4 linked regions of the Saccharomyces cerevisiae S288C genome follow. Changing the gene in region 3 together with the main gene of any one other region gives a genetic interaction. Each region holds a gene or a part of one and is shown on either strand. Other genes may lie near its edges. The genes, in order: CTK1, BLM10, RPN4 and PRE9.

Evidence for each region.
Region 1: mutations in RPN4 (region 3) and CTK1 together harm fitness more than expected from each alone (negative genetic interaction), as found in Saccharomyces cerevisiae (5 studies listed by BioGRID, with this or other methods).
Region 2: mutations in RPN4 (region 3) and BLM10 together harm fitness more than expected from each alone (negative genetic interaction), as found in Saccharomyces cerevisiae (5 studies listed by BioGRID, with this or other methods).
Region 4: mutations in RPN4 (region 3) and PRE9 together harm fitness more than expected from each alone (negative genetic interaction), as found in Saccharomyces cerevisiae (7 studies listed by BioGRID, with this or other methods).

What each region holds. Positions count from the first base shown.
Region 1 is NC_001143.9:181,417-185,044, reverse strand, and holds CTK1 (cyclin-dependent serine/threonine protein kinase CTK1), read right to left. Parts: upstream 2,088-3,628; coding exon 501-2,087; downstream 1-500. Other genes in the region: HSK3 (Hsk3p), read left to right, coding at 33-242; TGL1 (sterol esterase), read right to left, coding at 2,620-3,628. UniProt on the Saccharomyces cerevisiae protein: Catalytic subunit of the CTDK-I complex, which hyperphosphorylates the C-terminal heptapeptide repeat domain (CTD) of the largest RNA polymerase II subunit.
Region 2 is NC_001138.5:121,012-129,936, forward strand, and holds BLM10 (proteasome activator BLM10), read left to right. Parts: upstream 1-2,467; coding exon 2,468-8,899; downstream 8,900-8,925. Other genes in the region: cohesin subunit SMC1, read left to right, coding at 1-2,095. UniProt on the Saccharomyces cerevisiae protein: Associated component of the proteasome that specifically recognizes acetylated histones and promotes ATP- and ubiquitin-independent degradation of core histones during DNA damage response.
Region 3 is NC_001136.10:413,724-418,310, forward strand, and holds RPN4 (stress-regulated transcription factor RPN4), read right to left. Parts: upstream 2,986-4,587; coding exon 1,390-2,985; downstream 1-1,389. Other genes in the region: phosphoglycerate mutase family protein GPM2, read left to right, coding at 230-1,165; oxysterol-binding protein related protein OSH2, read right to left, coding at 3,940-4,587. UniProt on the Saccharomyces cerevisiae protein: Acts as a transcriptional activator of a number of genes encoding proteasomal subunits. Binds to a PACE (proteasome-associated control element) DNA sequence 5'-GGTGGCAAA-3'.
Region 4 is NC_001139.9:758,385-762,668, reverse strand, and holds PRE9 (proteasome core particle subunit alpha 3), read right to left. Parts: upstream 1,278-4,284; coding exon 501-1,277; downstream 1-500. Other genes in the region: LSB1 (Lsb1p), read right to left, coding at 1-241; CCR4-NOT core subunit CAF130, read right to left, coding at 1,531-4,284. UniProt on the Saccharomyces cerevisiae protein: The proteasome degrades poly-ubiquitinated proteins in the cytoplasm and in the nucleus. It is essential for the regulated turnover of proteins and for the removal of misfolded proteins.

The sequences.
Region 1 (3,628 bases), on a different chromosome or scaffold from region 3:
CGAAGAGGACACAAAGAATTTCAGGCAAGAGAATGAACGCTAACAAACAAAGGCAGTATAATCAGCTTGCACACGAACTTAGAGAGCTTCAAACGAATTTACAGGAAACGACAAAACAACTAGATATCATGTCGAAACAATGTAACGAAAACTTGGTAGGCCAATTGGGTAAGGTACATGGAAGTTGGTTGATAGGTAGTTACATTTATTATATGGAGCAGATGCTTGGAAAAACGCAATAAGGCATAAGAGGTAAGACAGTTAGTGGCCAGGCTAATTTATAAGATGTGAAATGAGATGGTGTTGGTACGATGGACAAACAGCTTGCATAAAAAGACAACCAAGTTACGTATAGTGAACGAGTGAAAATAGGCAAACCTTCTATTCACTAGGCCGCTTCACATGAAATTAGATGTTCGTATCATATTTACGGGTATCGCGTAATAAATAAGTTATTAATCTATTTTTTGTGTCTACTTATTTCAATTGGCTATATATCCTTATTTATCATCATCGTCATTATTATTATTATTATTATTATTACTATTACCATTACCCTTATTGTTTGTGTTGGTGGATAGTATGTTAGGACGCTTTTGTTTTCTTGCCAATTTGACTTCATATTCGTGGCAACTTACCAATCCATCAAGAACTAAAGGTTCAGGCTTTGGTTCTTCCTTGAAATAGTCGCTTTGTAAAGCTTCGGTTGCACTAAACCTTTTCGTCTGATCATAACATAACAAATTAATCGCCAATTGCAGACATTTTGAAGATGGTAAAACGCTTTTAAATTTCTCAGAAAAATTGTTGACATACTTGGTAGTTTGCTGTGGCATAATCATAAAAAACCACGGCATATCGTAAAGCGTTGGCCAGCTATTTATTGTAGGAGTTCCCATAATCTTGAAAATTGATTCTATTTGCTCTAATTCATTAGAGCCCTGGAAAATTGCAGTTTTATTGAATAATTCCACCAGGAGGCAGCCACAACCCCACATGTCAACTTCTGTTCCATAATTTGTAGTTCCCAACAATAGTTCTGGTGGTCTGTACCACAACGTAATGACACGGTTAGTGTAATCAGCTCGCGAATTCATTTTCCTCGCTAGTCCAAAATCTGTTATTTTTAGATTCCCCTGGTTATCGATTAAGATGTTTGAGCCTTTAACATCACGGTGTAAAATCTTATTATCATGTAAATATTCCATTCCTAATAGCAATTGTTTGAAGAGATGTTTGCATTGTGAGTGAGAAATTTGGACTTCCTTATTTAATAGTAATCCACTTAAGTCGTTGTCAGCATATTCAAATATCATATATACAGTTTTTTGAGATTCGACCATTATTTCTTTTATAGTAGAGACATTTGGATGATCAAAACTTTGTAGTAGTTTAATCTCTCGTATAGAGGTTATGGGAAAGCCTTCCCTCTCTCCTTGTAATCTCAATTTTTTCAGCGCTACTAACTTCTCTGTATTCGTGTTTTTTGCCTTGTAAACTTTACCATATGTTCCTTCTCCGACTTGCATTATCCTTAGGTAAACTGACGTGCTCCTTTGCTGCGTTAGAACCGAAACTGGAACTTTCTTAGCTATGACAGACCGCCCTTCCTGGCCTTTGTGGTTATAGTATTTTGAAGCATGATAGCCATTTTTTATATCATTACTAGTATTGGATGAATTATTATATCTTGATTTCTCAACAGATTTGGGCCCCTTTGGCAAATGAGACAGGAATTCAGCCTTTGTTTCATCCCTTTTTATGCTTTTAGGCCTATTTTCATACGACGTATTATTATTGTTGTATCTTGAACCTTGATATCTGGAACTTGTTTGAAAGGATGTATCGTTATAGCGAGATAAATTATTGTTACCACGACTTTTCGTGTGGCCTGGTTGGTCATTTGAATTTACCCTATGAGAAGATATATTGTCCATATTCGACTGGTAACCACTATCAGTCCGTATTCTCTTTGGTGGCGGTGGTCTCGCTAGGGACTGAGGATTTGGCGACCTCTTTCCGAACAAGGGTCTCTTATTATTTCTGCTATAACTCTTTGAATAAGTATTGCCATTATTGTAGGACATTGTTACCAAATAATTTATGCTGTATGGTCCCTGTGTTATTCTAGTGCAAAGAATAGTGCTAGAATTAGTTTTATTTACAAATAGGTTTTTTAAAAGTACTAATGGAACAAAAAAAGTCCAAAAAAAGCTAATATGCACAGTGAATAAATACACTGATAAGACCTTCTCTTTTTTTCTAAATGTATTTTACTGTCTGAACCGTCCATTTTTTAACATCTCATTGGCAATCAATATGTAAAGTTACCTTATTATGTAGAGGTTTTTCTCTTCCATCAGTGAAAAAAAAAAACGAAAAAAATAGAGCTTCACGTGACCTTTTTAAGCCAAATAAGAATAATGCTAAAAGGAAGTTAATTACTTTACTAATTTCCAGTATCCACAAGCATGAGGATATTAAGGACTTCTTATGAAATCCATTTATTGTGTATAAAACGTACGTATATTCTTTCTTTAGTTCATCGATTTTTAGATTAGCGCTAATATTATTATCCTAGACAAAAAATAGTTTAATAGGGTTTCTCTCGCATTCTTTTCATTCTTTATTTAGAGCATCCAGCGCAGTTGTCGAAGAGTTGGCATCTAGTTGTCGTAAATCTTTGGATGATTCCAGATAGGCACTTAACCGTCTTTGCTGCTCCTTATGGATTTGATCTTCTGTATCATCCTGGTGCTCATTTTCGTTGTCCTCGTCTATGGCACTAGTAGAAAACACTCGTCTTAAGAACCTTGAATTGTCAGCATTGTGGACCTCATCCGCTTCATCAGCTTGTACAGACAACGGAGAACGGTCTGCCGAGTGAGTTCTATAACTGAGACCATGCGTTGGATGAGTTGTCTTCCATGTCGTGCTTGGTAATTCCTCAACCAGACTTGCTGATGGTAGTAACTGGTTAGTCTTCACTGAAACATTACCAGGGTTAAAAAATTCAATAAACCTCAAGACTTTAGCAATGACCAAGGTATCGGCATCTTTGCCCCAAATCAAATCCAGGTGTTCATAATTGTCAACTTTAACATCAAAGACGGAGTTGAAGGGTAGATTTTTTTTCATCACATCAATATCAACTAAAGAATCTATGCCACCATAAATTAAAAGAATGGGAATCTTGATATTTGTTCTAGTAGGAAAATTAGCAATTTGGTAAGGCCTAGTTAAGGAATTTAGCATGTTATCAGACTCTTCAAACATTTGAAATTTCTGAGATCTTAATATTTGGAACCAGTGAACAATGGATTTTACACTGGTCGTTGAATAAAGTTTTGCGTAAGAAGCAATCTTTTGTCTCGGTAGAATGTTAAACGACTTCCAATTGAACAGTATCTTGTTTGCGATATCGATACACAAATTGAAAAGTGTTGGATGTAAAGTTCTTTGCCAAATGACAGCTGAAGGTAACACAATTTTCCTACCAAAGAAAAGATACATAAAGCCGGGCGATGATTTGGCCAAGGTATCGACAATTCTGTTGTGCAACCCCTTTGGAGTCATAGCGGGTGCTATGGCTATAAAATGGGAGACTTTTCGATTCAATTTTTCACTC
Region 2 (8,925 bases), on a different chromosome or scaffold from region 3:
AGTAAAAGGTCTTGTTCATGATCTTTGTCACCCAAAAAAGGAGAAATATGGCTTGGCAGTGTCTACCATCTTAGGTAAGAACTTTGATTCCGTCATTGTAGAAAATTTAACCGTAGCTCAAGAATGCATTGCATTTTTGAAGAAGCAACGTGCGGGCACTGCATCTTTCATACCACTAGACACAATTGAGACAGAGTTACCTACATTATCATTGCCTGACTCACAAGACTATATTTTATCAATTAATGCTATTGACTACGAGCCGGAATATGAAAAAGCGATGCAATATGTGTGTGGCGATTCCATCATATGTAATACGTTGAATATTGCTAAAGATCTGAAATGGAAAAAGGGCATAAGAGGCAAATTGGTTACAATTGAAGGTGCTTTGATCCACAAGGCCGGTTTGATGACAGGTGGTATATCAGGAGATGCCAATAATAGGTGGGATAAAGAAGAATATCAAAGCTTAATGTCTTTAAAAGACAAATTACTAATCCAAATCGATGAACTTTCCAACGGTCAACGCTCTAATTCAATCAGAGCAAGAGAAGTTGAAAATAGTGTTTCACTATTGAACTCGGACATAGCAAATTTGAGAACTCAAGTAACACAACAAAAACGCTCCTTGGATGAAAATCGTTTAGAGATTAAGTACCATAATGACTTGATAGAGAAAGAAATTCAACCGAAGATAACTGAACTAAAGAAGAAGCTAGATGATTTAGAAAATACTAAAGATAATTTAGTGAAAGAGAAGGAGGCTTTACAAAATAATATTTTCAAAGAATTCACTAGTAAAATTGGCTTTACAATCAAAGAATATGAAAATCATTCCGGTGAATTGATGAGACAACAATCTAAAGAATTACAGCAGTTACAAAAACAAATTTTGACCGTTGAAAATAAGTTGCAGTTTGAGACAGACAGACTAAGTACTACTCAAAGAAGATATGAAAAGGCGCAAAAGGATTTAGAGAATGCTCAAGTTGAAATGAAGTCTTTGGAAGAACAGGAATATGCAATAGAAATGAAAATCGGATCAATAGAGTCTAAATTGGAAGAACACAAAAATCACTTAGATGAGTTACAGAAGAAATTTGTAACGAAGCAAAGTGAATTAAATTCCAGCGAAGATATTCTAGAGGACATGAACAGCAACTTACAAGTCTTAAAAAGGGAAAGAGACGGTATAAAGGAAGATATTGAAAAGTTTGATTTAGAGAGAGTAACAGCGTTAAAGAATTGTAAAATTTCTAATATAAATATACCTATATCATCTGAAACAACGATAGATGATTTACCAATATCTTCCACTGATAATGAAGCAATTACAATTTCCAACAGTATCGATATAAACTATAAAGGACTACCTAAAAAATACAAAGAAAACAATACCGATTCGGCAAGGAAGGAGCTGGAGCAGAAGATTCATGAAGTGGAGGAAATATTGAACGAGTTGCAGCCCAATGCAAGAGCTTTGGAGAGATACGACGAGGCGGAAGGAAGGTTTGAAGTGATTAATAACGAAACAGAACAACTAAAGGCCGAAGAAAAGAAAATATTAAACCAGTTCCTAAAAATTAAGAAAAAAAGAAAGGAACTGTTCGAAAAGACATTTGATTATGTGAGCGACCATTTAGACGCAATCTACAGGGAACTTACTAAAAATCCCAACTCCAATGTGGAATTGGCCGGTGGTAACGCTTCTTTAACCATAGAAGACGAAGATGAACCGTTCAATGCGGGAATCAAATATCATGCCACTCCGCCTCTTAAAAGATTCAAAGACATGGAATATCTTTCTGGTGGTGAAAAAACCGTAGCTGCATTAGCTCTATTATTTGCTATTAATTCCTACCAGCCTAGTCCCTTCTTCGTGCTGGACGAAGTGGACGCAGCCCTAGACATTACTAACGTCCAGAGAATTGCTGCCTATATAAGAAGGCACCGTAATCCAGATCTCCAATTCATTGTCATTTCATTGAAGAACACCATGTTTGAAAAATCTGACGCTCTCGTTGGGGTTTACAGACAGCAACAAGAAAACTCGTCGAAGATCATAACTTTGGACTTGAGCAATTACGCAGAATAATCTATGAAACCAACCTCTGCTATAACCCGTCAAATAACTAATAATATCTATATAGGTCAACTAGCTAGTGCAATATCATAGTAACAATAATATTAATAACGTCACTTTTTTTCCAGGGTAACCCAATTGTGGTGGGTGGCGGCCGAGGTATCCCTTAGAAAAGAATTTTTTAAGTTCTTTCTCATCTCTTACCAGTGGAGAAGTACACGATATTTGCAAAGTCTGTCATCAGGGCTTGATAATAAAGCTGCATTAGATCTTAGCAAAAACTACGAGAAGAACATTGAATATTGTAGCTGTATTTGCATACATAAACTTTATCATTGTTCGTTAGCTAGCTTTGCACATTAATTTTTCGATTTGTTACCGCCAATGACCGCTAACAATGACGATGATATCAAATCACCCATTCCCATTACTAACAAGACCTTATCCCAATTGAAGCGCTTTGAGAGAAGTCCAGGAAGGCCCAGTTCTTCTCAGGGCGAGATAAAACGTAAAAAGTCTAGGCTATATGCCGCAGACGGAAGACCACATTCTCCGCTAAGAGCAAGGTCTGCTACCCCAACGCTACAGGACCAAAAACTGTTCAATGGCATGGATTCCACTTCCCTTTTGAATGAAAGGCTACAGCATTATACGCTGGATTATGTTAGTGACAGGGCCCAGCATATGAAGAATATATATGACCCATCATCTCGCTGGTTCAGCAGATCCGTGAGGCCTGAATTTCCTATTGAAGAGTTCTTACCATATAAGACTGAAAGTCATGAAGATCAAGCGAAATACTTGTGCCATGTCTTAGTTAATCTTTATATTGCGATCAGCTCATTAGATATACAAGGTTTGATTTCTATTTCCAGTAAAGATCTGGCTGATTTAAAGAAAGAAGTGGATGATTTAGCTCTTAAAACCGATCTTTTCAGGTTATCTAACAACACAGCGGAGAATGACTTACTTGGTAACGATATTGCTGATTATGACGATGCGGAAGGCCTGGAGGACGAATTGGATGAATACTTCGACTTAGCAGGCCCCGACTTTAATGCTACCGGAAAAATCACAGCTAAATCAGCTACTATTGTGAATGTAAACCATTGGACTAATGAGCTCAAAAATTGTCTACATTTTGATTTTCCAGTAGCTTTAAGAAAGTCGCTAGCGACAGTTTATTATTATTTGTCTCTTGTTCAGGGCCAAAAGGTGTATAGACAAATGCATGTCGATATGTTCGAAAGATTAGTAAGCCTTGACGATGATAGGACAAATTTCACTGAACTGTTGCAAAAACAAGGTCTTTTGCTAGATCATCAAATCATGCTCAATTTCCTGTGCGAATTTCTACCTTATCCAGATCCCGACTATGCTCGTTATGAATTATCATCAAAGGAAGATTTACAGTTATTTAGATTACTTTTGAAGCATGCACATAATGCAAAACCATTTTTCGATAAGTCAAAGGAAAGTTTGTTAGTTGATACGATGAATTTTCTGTTGTCTAGTCTTGCACCATCTACTATGATGGCTGTCATGCCTATCGTTACATCCGTTGTGCCCTATCATTATCATATCCATTCTAAGATCATCGATTATTTCCCGTTTTGCTATAGCATCTGGAGCTCAGTCAGCGCAAACGTGGCCATCGACACTCACATGTATGATTTTGTTGGGTCAATTTCCAAAGACGTTCATAATAAGATTTTGAGTAGCGAGCATGAAAAGGATGTAGTTGGAGTGGAGTTTGGAGAATTCGGGATTTTTACTGATGATCAAATGACTTTTATGTTCAATAGGTTACAAGGCCATCTTAGAACAGACGGTCAAATACATTCGTATTCCCGCACAGTGAAGCCTTTTGTTTATGCTATAAACGGATCAAAAAAAGATAGGTTTTTTGAAAAACTTGTAAGTTTAGCCAAAGCAATCGAAACATTTATCCATCCCTCTAATAATGGGTTTTGGACCAAGCCAAATGCTAAATTCGTTCATGCATTTATAAAGTCTTACCACGGAAGGGTCAAATATGAAGAAGATATTTGTGCTAGGGGCGTCACAAATGGGATATGTTTAACTTCTTTTTGTCACGAAGAGATAGTTGAAATATTCTTAAATATTATCAGTCTGGGTTCACAGAATAAAAATCCTGATATTGCGAACTATTACATCTCTTGTTTCGCATATCTGTTAGAGCTGGATCCTTCAAATGCATATTTAATTTATGACAAAATACTGATAGATTTGTACGATACGCTGGCTGACCAATTTATCAATTCGAGACACAGAATCATTTCCTCTTTGAAACAATTTACAAGAGTAATTCGGTTTATTGTGATGGATAAGCTATATCGCGTGCACATAACAAACGTCCTTTCGATGCTGGTCTCCAAACTTGATATGAACGATACTAATTTGACAAGCAACCTCATCAACGGTATTGTATCTATAGCCGCTTTCATTCCTATCCAAGACCTCACTGGGGAGGACGATTATATATCGTTTGAATCGGATACTCTTCCTTTAGTTCAACAACATTTTTATCATATTAAGTGTGGCGAAAGTTCAAAGACCTTCCGAGTTGATGATGAACTGTTAAATAACGCTTTCAAAGCTTCCACTACAGTTTTTCAAAGTATGCTAAAAGTATACGTAGAAAAAATTTTCCAATTGGTTGATGTAGACTTAGAGGACTCTTTGGTTACTAAAATAAACCAAACAACTATGATTTTACAAGAGTCTATGGACGATAAAATATTTAATTATTTTGCTTCTTTATTACAGAGAAACTTCTGGAGTAATGACTCCTTCAAGGAAAAGGATCCAAACTATGAATTAGTTACTATCCCACTAGCGGCTTTAGTAAGAAGGAATAATGGTTTGAGTAAAGAGTTGGTCAGAACTCTTTTATTCCATATCAAAGAACAAATCAAAAGAGGCGCCGGGTCTGTAAGAAGTACTTCAGAGATTCAACAGAGGGATGTTAAGTTAGTTTTATACTTAACTGCACTAAATGATGTCTTAAGGCAATGTCATGAATCTCTATTGGAGTATAGCGATGAGTTGATAACATTCATGAAATATTTATACGACAACGTCACTAACCCGCCATTGGATGTTATCACATCTATTGTTATTCACAGTGCTTTAGCAACTCTATGTACAACCGAAATAACTGATTGTCGTCTATTCCCAGAGGACTCTAAGATTCCGGAAAAAGACAGATGGGGAGGACTACAGTTCGATCCTCGAAGATTTGATAAACAGCATTTGAGTTTTCAGTGGCACGTACCTTCTAGTGACGAGATAACTTTATCCATAAGCATTCTAGAAAGCCTTTCCGAATACTGTATTAACAACGTAGAAGAACTGATGAAAGCTCCAAGACATGATTCCGAATATGGCGATATGATACAAAAATATGTTTTAGTTATGACACATACGCTTTCCGGGTCAAGTTTACTTTTTGATCCAGATTTTAACAAATATAGGACGCAATCAAACTTATCATACAGAGAGAAACTGATTTTATTAAAGAATATACGCGAAAATAATTGTGACCCTCAAGAACTGGATATTGATATTGAACAAATTCGTTCTGGCAAGGATGATGAAGACTATATTGAGAGTAAGGACATTGAAGCAGGGCTGAATGCAGGAGTTTCCGATGTTGTGCAGTTAAGAGATGAGTTTCCGGATGAATTAATTGTTGATGAAGAAGTAGTGTCTGAGATGCCATCTGGTGTAAATACCCCTATCGCGGGGACGCATGGCACGGACAATTCAGCTATGAGTTCGGATCTAGCTTTCAGGGATTTAGATATTTACACCTGTAATTATTACTTCGGAAATACCACTGAGGAGAAGTTACAAAACCCACAATATTTACAAGTCCACAGAGTTAGAGCGCGCATTGGACATTTCTTTCACAAACTCTATGTTTTTTTATCTACAAACTTCGAAAACAACACCAACATGTTCCAAATTCTATTGCACGGATTGAAAGTTTGGTTCACAGATCTGGGACAAGAAACGGTCTTCAATGAAGACCCAAATGCCTTCATTGACGTTGATTTCCTAGAAAACGTTCAATCTCTCTCACACGTAAATGAGCCCTTCACGAGAACCAATTTTGCAATCAGAGCAAACAGTTTGCACCAGAGTAGAGTTCTATTACATTCAACAAATAGAAAAGCTTCCAAGCTGGAAAACCTATTGTTAGTTGACATCATACAGTTAGCGACATCCCTTTATCCTGATATTTATAAACCAGCACAGGGAACTTTGGTACACTGTATGAAACAATTAGTTGGGTCATATGGCGTAGTCATCAATAAAATTATTCCATCATTAGAGAAAGCGATTAAGGATCATGATTATATGAAAATCCAAGTTATTTTAAATGTTTTGTTAATTAAGAAAATCCATAGGAAGCTTATGACGGATTATAAAGACATCGGCAGATTGATATTTCTGCTTATTGAATGTTGTCGTGTGAATGAATTAGAGATTGGTATGTATGCAGATAAAATCTTAACTGACATAGTGATTGGGATCAAGATTCCTTCTAGTGTATGTGTCATTTCCGATCAAGCTTTCTTACCTTTAGCACCTCCTGATGGTACTATTAATTTGCAAGTTGAAGCGGTAAAGCTTGCCAAAAAGAAAAAGCGTGAGTACTACCTCTCTCTGTTAGTGGATTTGCAGGACAAACTTTTAGACAAATTAGATAATGAAAAAGATATGGGGTGGAAGATAAGAATGTTCATTTTACGTTTTGTTACACAAATCCAATCGAACCTCGAAAGCAAACCCGATAAAAGAGCAGTATTTTCAATAATCTCCCAAATCTCCACAAAACATCCCGAAATCATACATTTGGTTGTAAAGTCATTGTTGTCGACGTGCAACAAGATAATATCTCTCTCTGACTATGAATATGACATCACCAGGGCCTATAAGAATGAATTCAATCCATCATTTGTGGAAATACTGGACACTTCGACCACAAGCTTCCCTAAAACGTTTACTGAAGAAATGAATAACTTTGATAACCCCAAGTATTTTATCGATTTGAGGGCGTATGTAGGGTGGCTATGTTGGGGAAGGCTTATGTACGTCATGTCGCCGAAAGCTTTAAAGCTCAATTTACGTGAGAATGAACTGGAAGTCCTCAAGACAGCTGGTCATCTATTGACAAGAGAATTCCTGAGAGATGTTACAATGAATTTAGTCCAAGATAATGAAACTAGGGGTGTTTTTAGTAGTGGTAACGTGTCATTTTTCTCTTTAGTAATCCTTTTGATATCATCTGGTTTCTGCGAACTGAATATGTCGGATCTCTTTGAGCTATGTGAATCCTACTATAACAAAGACGATAAGGCTTCGATGATCATGTCTGTCGAGATAGTGGCTGGCTTAGTTTGCGGGAGTAAGTTTATGTCAGTCTCTGACTTGGACAAACGTGACACTTTTATCGAAAACTTCCTAGCCAAATGTTTAGATTATGAGTTGAACCATGACGCATTTGAAATTTGGAGCACCTTGGCATGGTGGTTGCCTGCAGTCGTTGATTTAAGAAGGTCTAAAACTTTTTTTTGCCATTTTATCAACGCCGATGGCATGTTTGACCGTGAATCTGATGCAGCCACACATCAAACCTCCAAAATTTACATGCTAAGAAGTATCTTGATGAGCATGGAATTTAGAGCCCCAGATGTTGGTAAGCTATTTGATGAGTTGGTATTTGATCACCCATACGATCAGGTTCGCCAGGCTGTCGCTAAACTATTGACGACCTTAGTTCAAAATCAAAGTAATCCGTCAATTTCAGATCCAACCACATTATTAGAAGCAGAACGGAATGATCCAGATGGATTAGGGTTACCATTAAAAAGCGTCCCAGAAAAGGTGGATGCCTATATTAAGAAGCAGTTTGAGATCATTAAAAATCTGGAAGATTCCGTTGTCGGCCTGAATCCTCAACAATTTATTAAGACAGACTATTTTTACAGGACATCCACAATATTTTATTGGATCAAAGAAATGGCGAGAGGGCCTAATAAAGTTTTGTTAGTTCCATATTTAGTCGATTATGTTTTACCATTTCTGATCGGATTAGTGAAACATAAAGATGTTTGTGCTCTTGCCAGTTTAGATCCTGTTCGATTGTATGCCGGCTTGGGCTATATGCCGATCAGAAAGAACCATGTTGCCGCCATTGTTGACTATGTTTGTTCGTCAAATGTAGCACTATCTTCAAACCAAACGAAACTACAGCTAGCTTTCATCCAACACTTTTTATCAGCGGAACTGCTTCAACTTACTGAGGAAGAAAAGAACAAAATTTTGGAATTTGTTGTCAGCAATTTGTATAACGAACAGTTTGTAGAGGTGAGAGTTCGTGCGGCATCCATTTTGTCTGATATCGTCCATAACTGGAAAGAGGAACAGCCGTTGTTGAGTTTAATCGAGAGATTTGCAAAGGGTCTCGACGTCAACAAATACACGTCGAAAGAAAGACAAAAGTTATCCAAAACGGATATCAAGATTCATGGTAACGTTTTGGGTTTGGGAGCTATTATATCAGCGTTCCCCTATGTTTTTCCCCTACCGCCATGGATACCCAAGCAACTAAGCAACTTATCCTCGTGGGCCAGGACTAGTGGTATGACTGGACAAGCTGCCAAAAATACTATTAGTGAGTTCAAGAAGGTGAGGGCCGACACTTGGAAGTTCGATAGAGCATCTTTCAATACGGAGGAACTGGAAGACCTGGAGGGTGTCCTATGGAGAAGTTACTATGCCTGATTCATATTAGTATAGGATATTAAGCA
Region 3 (4,587 bases):
CATGTTGTTATCACCCCACGACGAAGATAATACGGAGCTCACCGTTTTCTTTTTTTTTCCCTTTGGCTGAAATTTCCCACCAGAACAAACGTGACAAAATTATCTTTGAATCCAAAGTAGCTTATATATATACGTAGAAGTGTTTCGAGACACACATCCAAATACGAGGTTGTTCAATTTAAACCCAAGAATACATAAAAAAAATATAGATATATTAACTTAGTAAACAATGACTGCAAGCACACCATCCAATGTCATGACATTGTTCTTGTTAAGGCATGGACAAAGTGAATTGAATCACGAGAATATATTCTGTGGTTGGATTGACGCTAAGCTAACCGAAAAAGGTAAAGAACAAGCTCGTCATTCTGCCGAGCTAATCGAACAATATTGTAAAGCTAATAATTTGAGATTACCCCAGATTGGTTACACCTCACGTTTAATTAGGACCCAACAGACCATAGAAACGATGTGTGAAGAATTTAAGTTAAAGCCACAACTGCAGGTTGTTTACGACTTTAATAAAATCAAACTTGGAGACGAATTTGGCAGTGATGACAAGGATAATATGAAAATCCCGATTCTTCAAACTTGGAGGCTAAATGAACGTCATTACGGTTCCTGGCAGGGCCAGAGGAAACCGAATGTTTTAAAAGAATATGGTAAGGATAAATATATGTTCATTAGGAGAGATTACGAGGGTAAGCCACCACCTGTAGATCTTGACCGTGAGATGATTCAACAAGAAAATGAGAAGGGCTCTTCTACTGGGTACGAATTCAAGGAGCCAAACAGACAAATAAAATATGAATTGGAATGCAGCAATCATGACATTGTATTACCGGATTCCGAATCTCTTCGTGAAGTGGTTTATAGATTGAATCCTTTTCTACAAAATGTCATATTAAAATTAGCCAATCAATATGATGAATCTTCATGCCTGATTGTGGGCCATGGAAGTTCAGTGAGATCGCTACTGAAAATTCTGGAGGGTATATCAGATGATGACATCAAGAATGTTGATATTCCAAATGGTATCCCCTTAGTCGTTGAATTAGATAAGAATAATGGTCTTAAGTTTATCAGAAAATTCTACCTAGATCCTGAATCTGCTAAGATCAATGCTGAGAAAGTCCGTAATGAGGGTTTCATAAAAAATCCTTAAGGGGGGTAAGTATATAATATAATTGTGTATTTTCCGAAGTATAATGAAAACCAATAGAAAACTTATTATAAGTCCAATGAGGTACTTTAAAAATGTGATATTTATAAGAACATTCCTGAATGCAGATATATGATATATATTGTAAATATATATAGATGTGTATATGTATTTCCATTTTGTGTGAGGTTTTCTTCTTTTATCTCCTATATAATTTGTAACCTTAATTAACCCATGACATAACCAATATTAGCCTTTGCAAATTTTGTAACTTCTTGACGTTGTTCTAACGACAAATCTTCATGCTTCGATTTTATATGCCTTGTTAAAGCATCCAGTCTCGAAAACGTCTTCTGATAGCCCTCAGATCCAAGAATTTTTATACACTCCGAGCAACGGAAGACAATCTTCCTTTTAGCGTGAATGGTATTTTGGTGTCTCGTTAAATCATAGGACCTTGAAAATTGGGCACCACACGGTTCATTTGTAATGAGATTCATTATCTGACACGTAAATATTTCGTTATTACCGTCAGAAGATGACGTATGGGCCGATGGTGATGCAGTCGAAGGTTTCGAATTCGAATTTGTAGATGAATGTGAAGATAAGTGCTTCTTAGTATAATTAATTAGCTTCCGCCTACTAGCATTTGAGCTTACTACAGCTGATGTAGGCTTCTTTATTCTTTCTAATGTGCCGTTTTCATTACTGTTACTAACGCAACTACGGTTACTGGATGATTTTGCTGGTTTCCTTTTACCGGTAGTAGCAGTAGACGGTACGTTTGCCGAGGTTGAGGGAGATGGAAATCTTTCAAAATCAATAGTGTTTTTATTGAGGACAAAACTTTGCTTTCTTCTGTTCTTCAAGAGAGAGATATCGTAGATATCGTCTTCATCAAGATCATTATCCTCATCCTCATCCTCTATCTTCTCATGTCCCCGTTCATCTAACAGATCTTCAGATACAACACTGGAAATGCTGTCCATGTTAGAGTCAACGTAACTGTACTCATTAAATAAATGACTAGAACTCTTGGCACGACCCGTTTTTTGATCTGAGCCAAACATTGAGATTGGTGTAACATCCAATGACAGTAAAGGCTCCTCTTGGTGTTGCTCTTGTTGCAAACAATTTTCTTCTATTTCATCCTCTTCATCATCACTGATATCGTCGTCATCAGAGTCAAATTCATTGTTAAAAATAGCTCTCGCATCCTCATTGTTTATTGCGGCGCTATTATCTTGAAGTGACCACTGCATTTTCGGATTATAATTATCCTCATAGAAAAGCACTTCTTCATCATTACCATATAGATTGTCACCGTTATCGAAAAAATCGTTGGAAATTTTAACATCATAATTGAACGTATTCCGTGTCGGTACATACGGGTCTGATACTTTCATTATATTCTTTAGATTGACGGTCTTCTGCAATGGGGTTTCGCTAGCACCCTTAATCTCGTTTGGTATGAGATGGACATTATTAATCTGTCTATCGTTGGCCGTTGCTTCACTAGTCGTAAAAGAGGTGGTGGTAGTTAAAGTAGGATCCGCGTATTTGTTGAATATCGGGAAATGGTAGGTTTGTTGTGGGGGTATCGAAGCTGCACTCGATTCATTCTGGTGTTGTAATGAATGATTCCACGTAAAAGTGTTGTTTTCCTTGTTCTTATTCACCAACTTATATGGAGTAATACTAGCATTTGGATGATAGTTTTGATAATGACTCGTAAACTGACTGTGACCTGGATTAGTATGGTACAACTCGTCTTCTAAAATATCCGTTAAGGTTCTTTTTAGGCTAAGTTCCGTAGAAGCCATGATTGCTTGAAAATTCTAGAAAACTTTTGAAAAGATACAAATTAGCTATTAGTACTATCTACTATTAGTTCAACTAAAAAGCGGAGTTCTTCCTTGAGGAGAAAAGGATGAACAAAATGGAACTGATCTACTCCTTAAATATTCCACGCCAAGAAGAAAAAAGAGTTTCGGGTTTATCTTTAATTTATATTAGAGATAAAACGTATCCTCCTCCTTGAACGATAAAAAATTATCCGTGTGGGTTAGGCTGCTCATCCCGGGCTTTCCCCAAATTGGGCTTCGAACTATTCTTTCCTTATATAGAATTGCTCTCCTCAACAAGTTTCGCCGAAACGGAACTTTCTAGAACCATCACTGTAAACGGCTATTAGTAATAGCGATCACGTGATTATCCGTGGAAAGGTTCGTACGGGCTGAGGCACCTTTCTTTGAGTTCCACGGAACTTGTTATTACAGGAACAGAAAGGTAGTAAAAAAAGAAGTAACGTCCTCTCAGTGCATATAGTTTGATCTCTATAACAATCCGTAGTTGGTTTTCTCAACAATTAATATTGAATACGTTAGTGATGATTGGTTTTCAACCTCTGCCGCTAATTTAGGCACAGTTCTATCGCAGCCGTAATGGAGGCATTATATAGCACTTTAGCGTCGTAACGAAGGGTTATGGTAACCGCCTAACGATTTTATTTACTCGCTTGTTGCTTGCTTTGTAATTGGTTATATGGATTTCAAAATAATATGGTCATCTGACCATGGTGACATAACCAAAGTGTTCGAAAAGATAACTAAATTGATACATCTAGGAAAACTGAAGGAAATCCCTATTGTTAAGTAAACATACTATATATGCCAAAAGAAACAAATGTGCGGTAGAATAAAATACAATTCAGTACAATAAAATACATTCAAAATACATACAAGTACCAGGAAAAAAGCTCGCATAAAAAAGGCGTGTTAAAAAATGTCACCACAATCTTTCAAATCATGATCTCTTCTTTTAACCCAATATTTGCCCGTATATCTCCAATATTTAGCTTTTGTGATGGGATGAGTATCCCTGACGAACCATTGTGGGTGATATTCAAGGTTATTTTCCTCCCTTTTTCTGCGTGCTGCTCTTTGCTTTTCTTCAACTCTGAATTTCTCATCACCAGCTTCGTCATAACGCCCATCTTCCATTGCTCTTTGATCTGGTCTCAAACGTGTATCTGTGGGGGGTAACCATGGCAATAGATGTGGTTGTGGAGCATTCAGCGTGATAGCAAAAGGTGTTAAATTGAATGGCTCCTCAGGACGGTCGTTTGCCTTCCATATTAAAAACTTCGTTCCGTCATCCGTAGGCCCATTCCCTGCTGATGCAGCGGTTCTAGTTTTCTCCAACGAGAGATCGCCATCTTTTACTACTTTCTTGGCAAAAATAGCTTCATTCCAGTGTCCTCCTAGGATCCACACCTTCTGTTTTTTCTTGTTGTAGACTTCGCCTGTGATTTCATATGCTCCTGATGACCTCCATCCCCTTGCTTTGAAATACAACTTGCAATGATCACCGGTTGTGTGATTGACAACGTTCACTTCACCGTGGTTATCAACTTGTGGATTACC
Region 4 (4,284 bases), on a different chromosome or scaffold from region 3:
GTATTTTATCACCTGTTTTCAATGACAAATCTCCATCTTGTTGAGCTTCAAAATCATATAAAGCTTCAACGTACTCTTCTGTATCTGCATTTTGGGGCGATCTTTGGTTTCCATCCCATTTCTCAGGTAACTTGCTATTGATTAATTCGAAAATGTCGCCTGATATGACGTTTGATTCCTTCAAAAATTCTAATTCATTCCTTATATTTTTCAATGATCGATTCACTAGTGACGCAGACATCGCTTTTGTTTATTTTTGAAGTGCTGCCAAAATTAGATTGGAGTTAGAATCCAACAACAAGTAGGCCAAACGAGCAGGCCCTTTTTTATATTTGCCTCTCGAGCGATTCCGATCTTGAAATTTGCGCAAAAAAAAGTTTCTTCAGCCTTCCCCCGAAAGGGGAATCTTAGCGATTTTTTTCTTTCACTTTTAATTTTAGAGATATGTTTCTATGCGTACATATTTATATAAGCATGAAGTCAAACAATACTTTCCAACCTTATTTCATATCTTCATCAGCTTCTTCGTCTTCATCCTTCTTGGTAATACCAGTCTTTACCAATATATCCTTTATCTCTTGAGGCTTGAAAATCTTCTGATACACTTCTCCGTCATTAGCACCCTTTCTGATAGTAGCAAATTCCAACCTGTCATAAGTCAGCGCGCTACTGTCGGTAGTTTTGGATAACGTTTTTAAAGCCAGTTCAATGGCATCATCGACTTTCATATCATCCTTGTAGTCCATTTGAAGTAGGGTTTGTGCTGCTGATGTGTTAGCGCCAACACTAATAGCCTTCCACCCTGTATAGTTTCCCGATGGATTAGATGTATACAATTGGTAACCGTATCTATCGTCATAACCGGCGTAGATAAAGGACACACCAAATGGTCTTAAACCACCATGTTGCGTGTAACCTTGTTTTATATCACTTAGCCTTCTCACCAAAATTTCTACTGGTATATCTTCATTATAGGTTTTAAGGTAATTTTGAGCGTGAATTCTAGCCGTATTTATTAGAATTTCTGCATCTGCAGTCAGTCCAGCAACGGCAACCGCAATTTTATCGTTTAACTTATAAAGTTTTTCGGTAGAGGTGTCTTGTTCTAGTAAAGTACTTGTGACTTTGCGTTCTGCTGCAAGAACAATCCCATCAGATGCCATAATCCCAATTGCGGTACCTGCATGTGAAATGGATTCTAGCGCGTATTCAACCTGATATAGACGTCCCTCAGGGGAGAAAATTGTTGTCCTGGAATCGTATCTTCTGGAACCCATGTTTAACACTACTAACTATATCCAATAATCAATTATTAAAATAGAGACTGATCGAAAACTTTTTATAGAAAGCAGTCTGTTCTCTTCGCTCTGCCAATGTTTCCTTATTACATAGATATCCATCTTTTTATGCTTTTATTCTATAAATTTTTTGCCACCTGCAGGGTAACGAATATTTAACTGCCTCAAGATGTTATTACATGGCTAATTGTCATTAAATGAGGATGCAGAGAAAACATGAGCAATTCACTGCTCACTCACTGTCTCCAACATCGAGCTCTGCGAGTGTTATATATTCATGAAGTGGGATAGGCTTATCGGCTTTGGGCAATGGCAAAATCTTACCATCGTAGAACACCACCCTTCTTCCTGGAGGGTTCACCTGGGTGTCGAAGGAGTAATCAGCGATAAAACTACGCAACGTGTTAATAGGGGAACTATCGTCTTTGTTTGCAGGCTTTGAGGGAAACAGGTTTAACAATTTCAGATTCAGTTCAGAAGCTGGCTTAGCGTTTAGCTTCTTCTCTATGTCAGAGTTCTTCCTGCCCTCATGCTGCATAGTATCGGCACTATCCTCTTCTTCCATGGCGAGCCTTGTCTTGATCTTAAAGAATAAATCTTTGGCTTCAGGAAGGATGCCAATCCATGTCATCAGTAAAGTTTGAAGCTCAAAAGTGCATTCTGATTTGGTAAAAAAAAACTTGTCGTTCGCGATGAGTGTCTGCACCATGTAACAGATCAACCTAACCAAACCAAGGGAGTACAAGGAGATTTTCTCGCCGTCTTCATTCTCTTCTTCGTTATTTTTTGATGACAAAAAAATAGCAGCATTCATAAAAAACTCCTGCAGTAACATTTTAGTCTCAATATCAGATAATACGATAGGTCCTTGCCTTGAAAAGGGAAGTCCTGAAGCATCTTCATTCTTCTGCTTTTTCTTCAAGATCTCATATATCATATCATCCTTTTTATCTTGATCACTGGCTTCTCCGGAAAACGGTTTTCCACGTAACCCCATTATTAGTTCAAAAACGTAATATATCAACGAATGTTTTAACTCCAAATGCGTAAGGAACCATATCAATATTCTCCTATAACCGGTGCACATTAACATTTCATCCATTAATCTCCACGCAACGTCGTGATTCACGTTTAGCATCCTTTCAAATGCTGATTCTTCAGACCATATTTCATAAATATCATCCGGCGTGGTTCTTCTGAGATCTTCATTATCTATCTTGGACATTTTGGTATTTCCTTCACCTTCTACATCGCCGTTTATACTTGCGGAAAAATTAGACTCCAGGTCTGCTAAAATCATTTGGTCCTGCTCGTTCCTTACACACGATGCAACTGAACGCACTAACAATATGGATTCCTCCTTATTCAACTTTTCTGTTGCGCCACGTAGAGTCAAACTAAATATGACATCTAACTTAGGCTCATGGATGAATGAATAAGATGGCGAATAGTACATATTGAAATCTCTGGGAACGTCCCTCCAATCTTCCCCACTATAGTCAAATTCAAAAGTACTTCTTGATCTAACGGAAAGTGGGTTAGGTGACGTAACGACGTGATCAGAAGTGGCTGTAGTCGCGTTATGTACCGCATTCCTATTATTATGCATTGCGCCTTCAACGTTTTCGCTATTTGTTGACCCAAAGGCTTCATTTGCACCATCCTCTGCCACCAACTTATCATCATTGAAGATGCAATTGCACCGTCTCCGAAAGAAAACATTATTACTACCAGATGCTATTTTTTCTGTTGGGTTAACAACGCTTTCATCCAATCCTCCATGATCGCTTTCAGAGAAAGATTCATCATAATCTTCACATTCATAATCAAACATATATCTAATATCCTCATCAAATCTATCACCTGACTGTAAATCGGCAAATAAATCTGTTACATCTTCGATGCTTGCTCCAAGCGCAAGTAGAGATGCAGTATGTGACCTTAAATCGGCATATAAAGCACCATGACACAATTTTCTTCCATAGGGCGACATGAATGTGTTTAAAGACTCGTGCTTGAAATCATGATCATTATTTTTCACTAATCCATTGAGAACGGTAGCTATTACAGACCTCAATGCTGCGGCTCCACGAATTGTGGCGCGAACCATAAGCGGCGTTTCGTAAGTGCCATTCTCCTCTTCAATTCTATCAATTTCTAAGGCTAAAAGTATAACACAGGAGAGGTTTTTCCATAAGGATATTAATGAAAATAAAAATGGGTTTAGTTGTATAGGTATTTTTTCATACAACTTGTAGATGGTATATACCGCCAGTATATCAATCATATAGAGTAATTCCAAGTCTTGTGTATTCAGGCCATGCGGTAGCCATCTGTGAAGTTGCGTCTTCCAATGAACTGCATTATCTGTATTGTTTACCGAGTTTAATATATCAAAATCAAAGCAGTTGAGCCTCAACATGGTAGCATCAATAATTTTTTGCATGTTAAAACACATATAAAATTTCCAGTCATAATGGTCGTTGTGTTCTTGAGAAGTCTTGATCGACTGAGACATTAATCCCAAAAAAAGCTGAAAAAGAAAGTCTATCGATATAATATGCTTATCATTGGGAGTAGGCTGCATTAATGGATCTACTAAGCCACATAGCGTAGAAAATTGTAGTTCCAATAATGGCGTCAATACCGTAGTGAGATTTAATATTTTAAAAAGAAGCTCGTGTCTTAGTAAAGAATGCTCCATAACGTTGGGTATTTCAAGCGTTCCATCTTGGTTCAGTTCGAATGAATATATTTGTTCCTGGTCATTTATTGTTCGGCCCATTATCGCCTCTCTCGGTTGTTTTTGATGATCAAAACGGCTATCGTCAAGGCCACTTCCAGCATTGCCTTCATCATTTTCCATTAACAGGCTAATGTTATCACTAAAAGTAAGATTTACTCTGTTCTCAGCATTAAAGGAATACCAGAAATAAAAATTTCGGCATTCTATCATTCTATTGTAATCTTTTAAAATTTTTCTAAC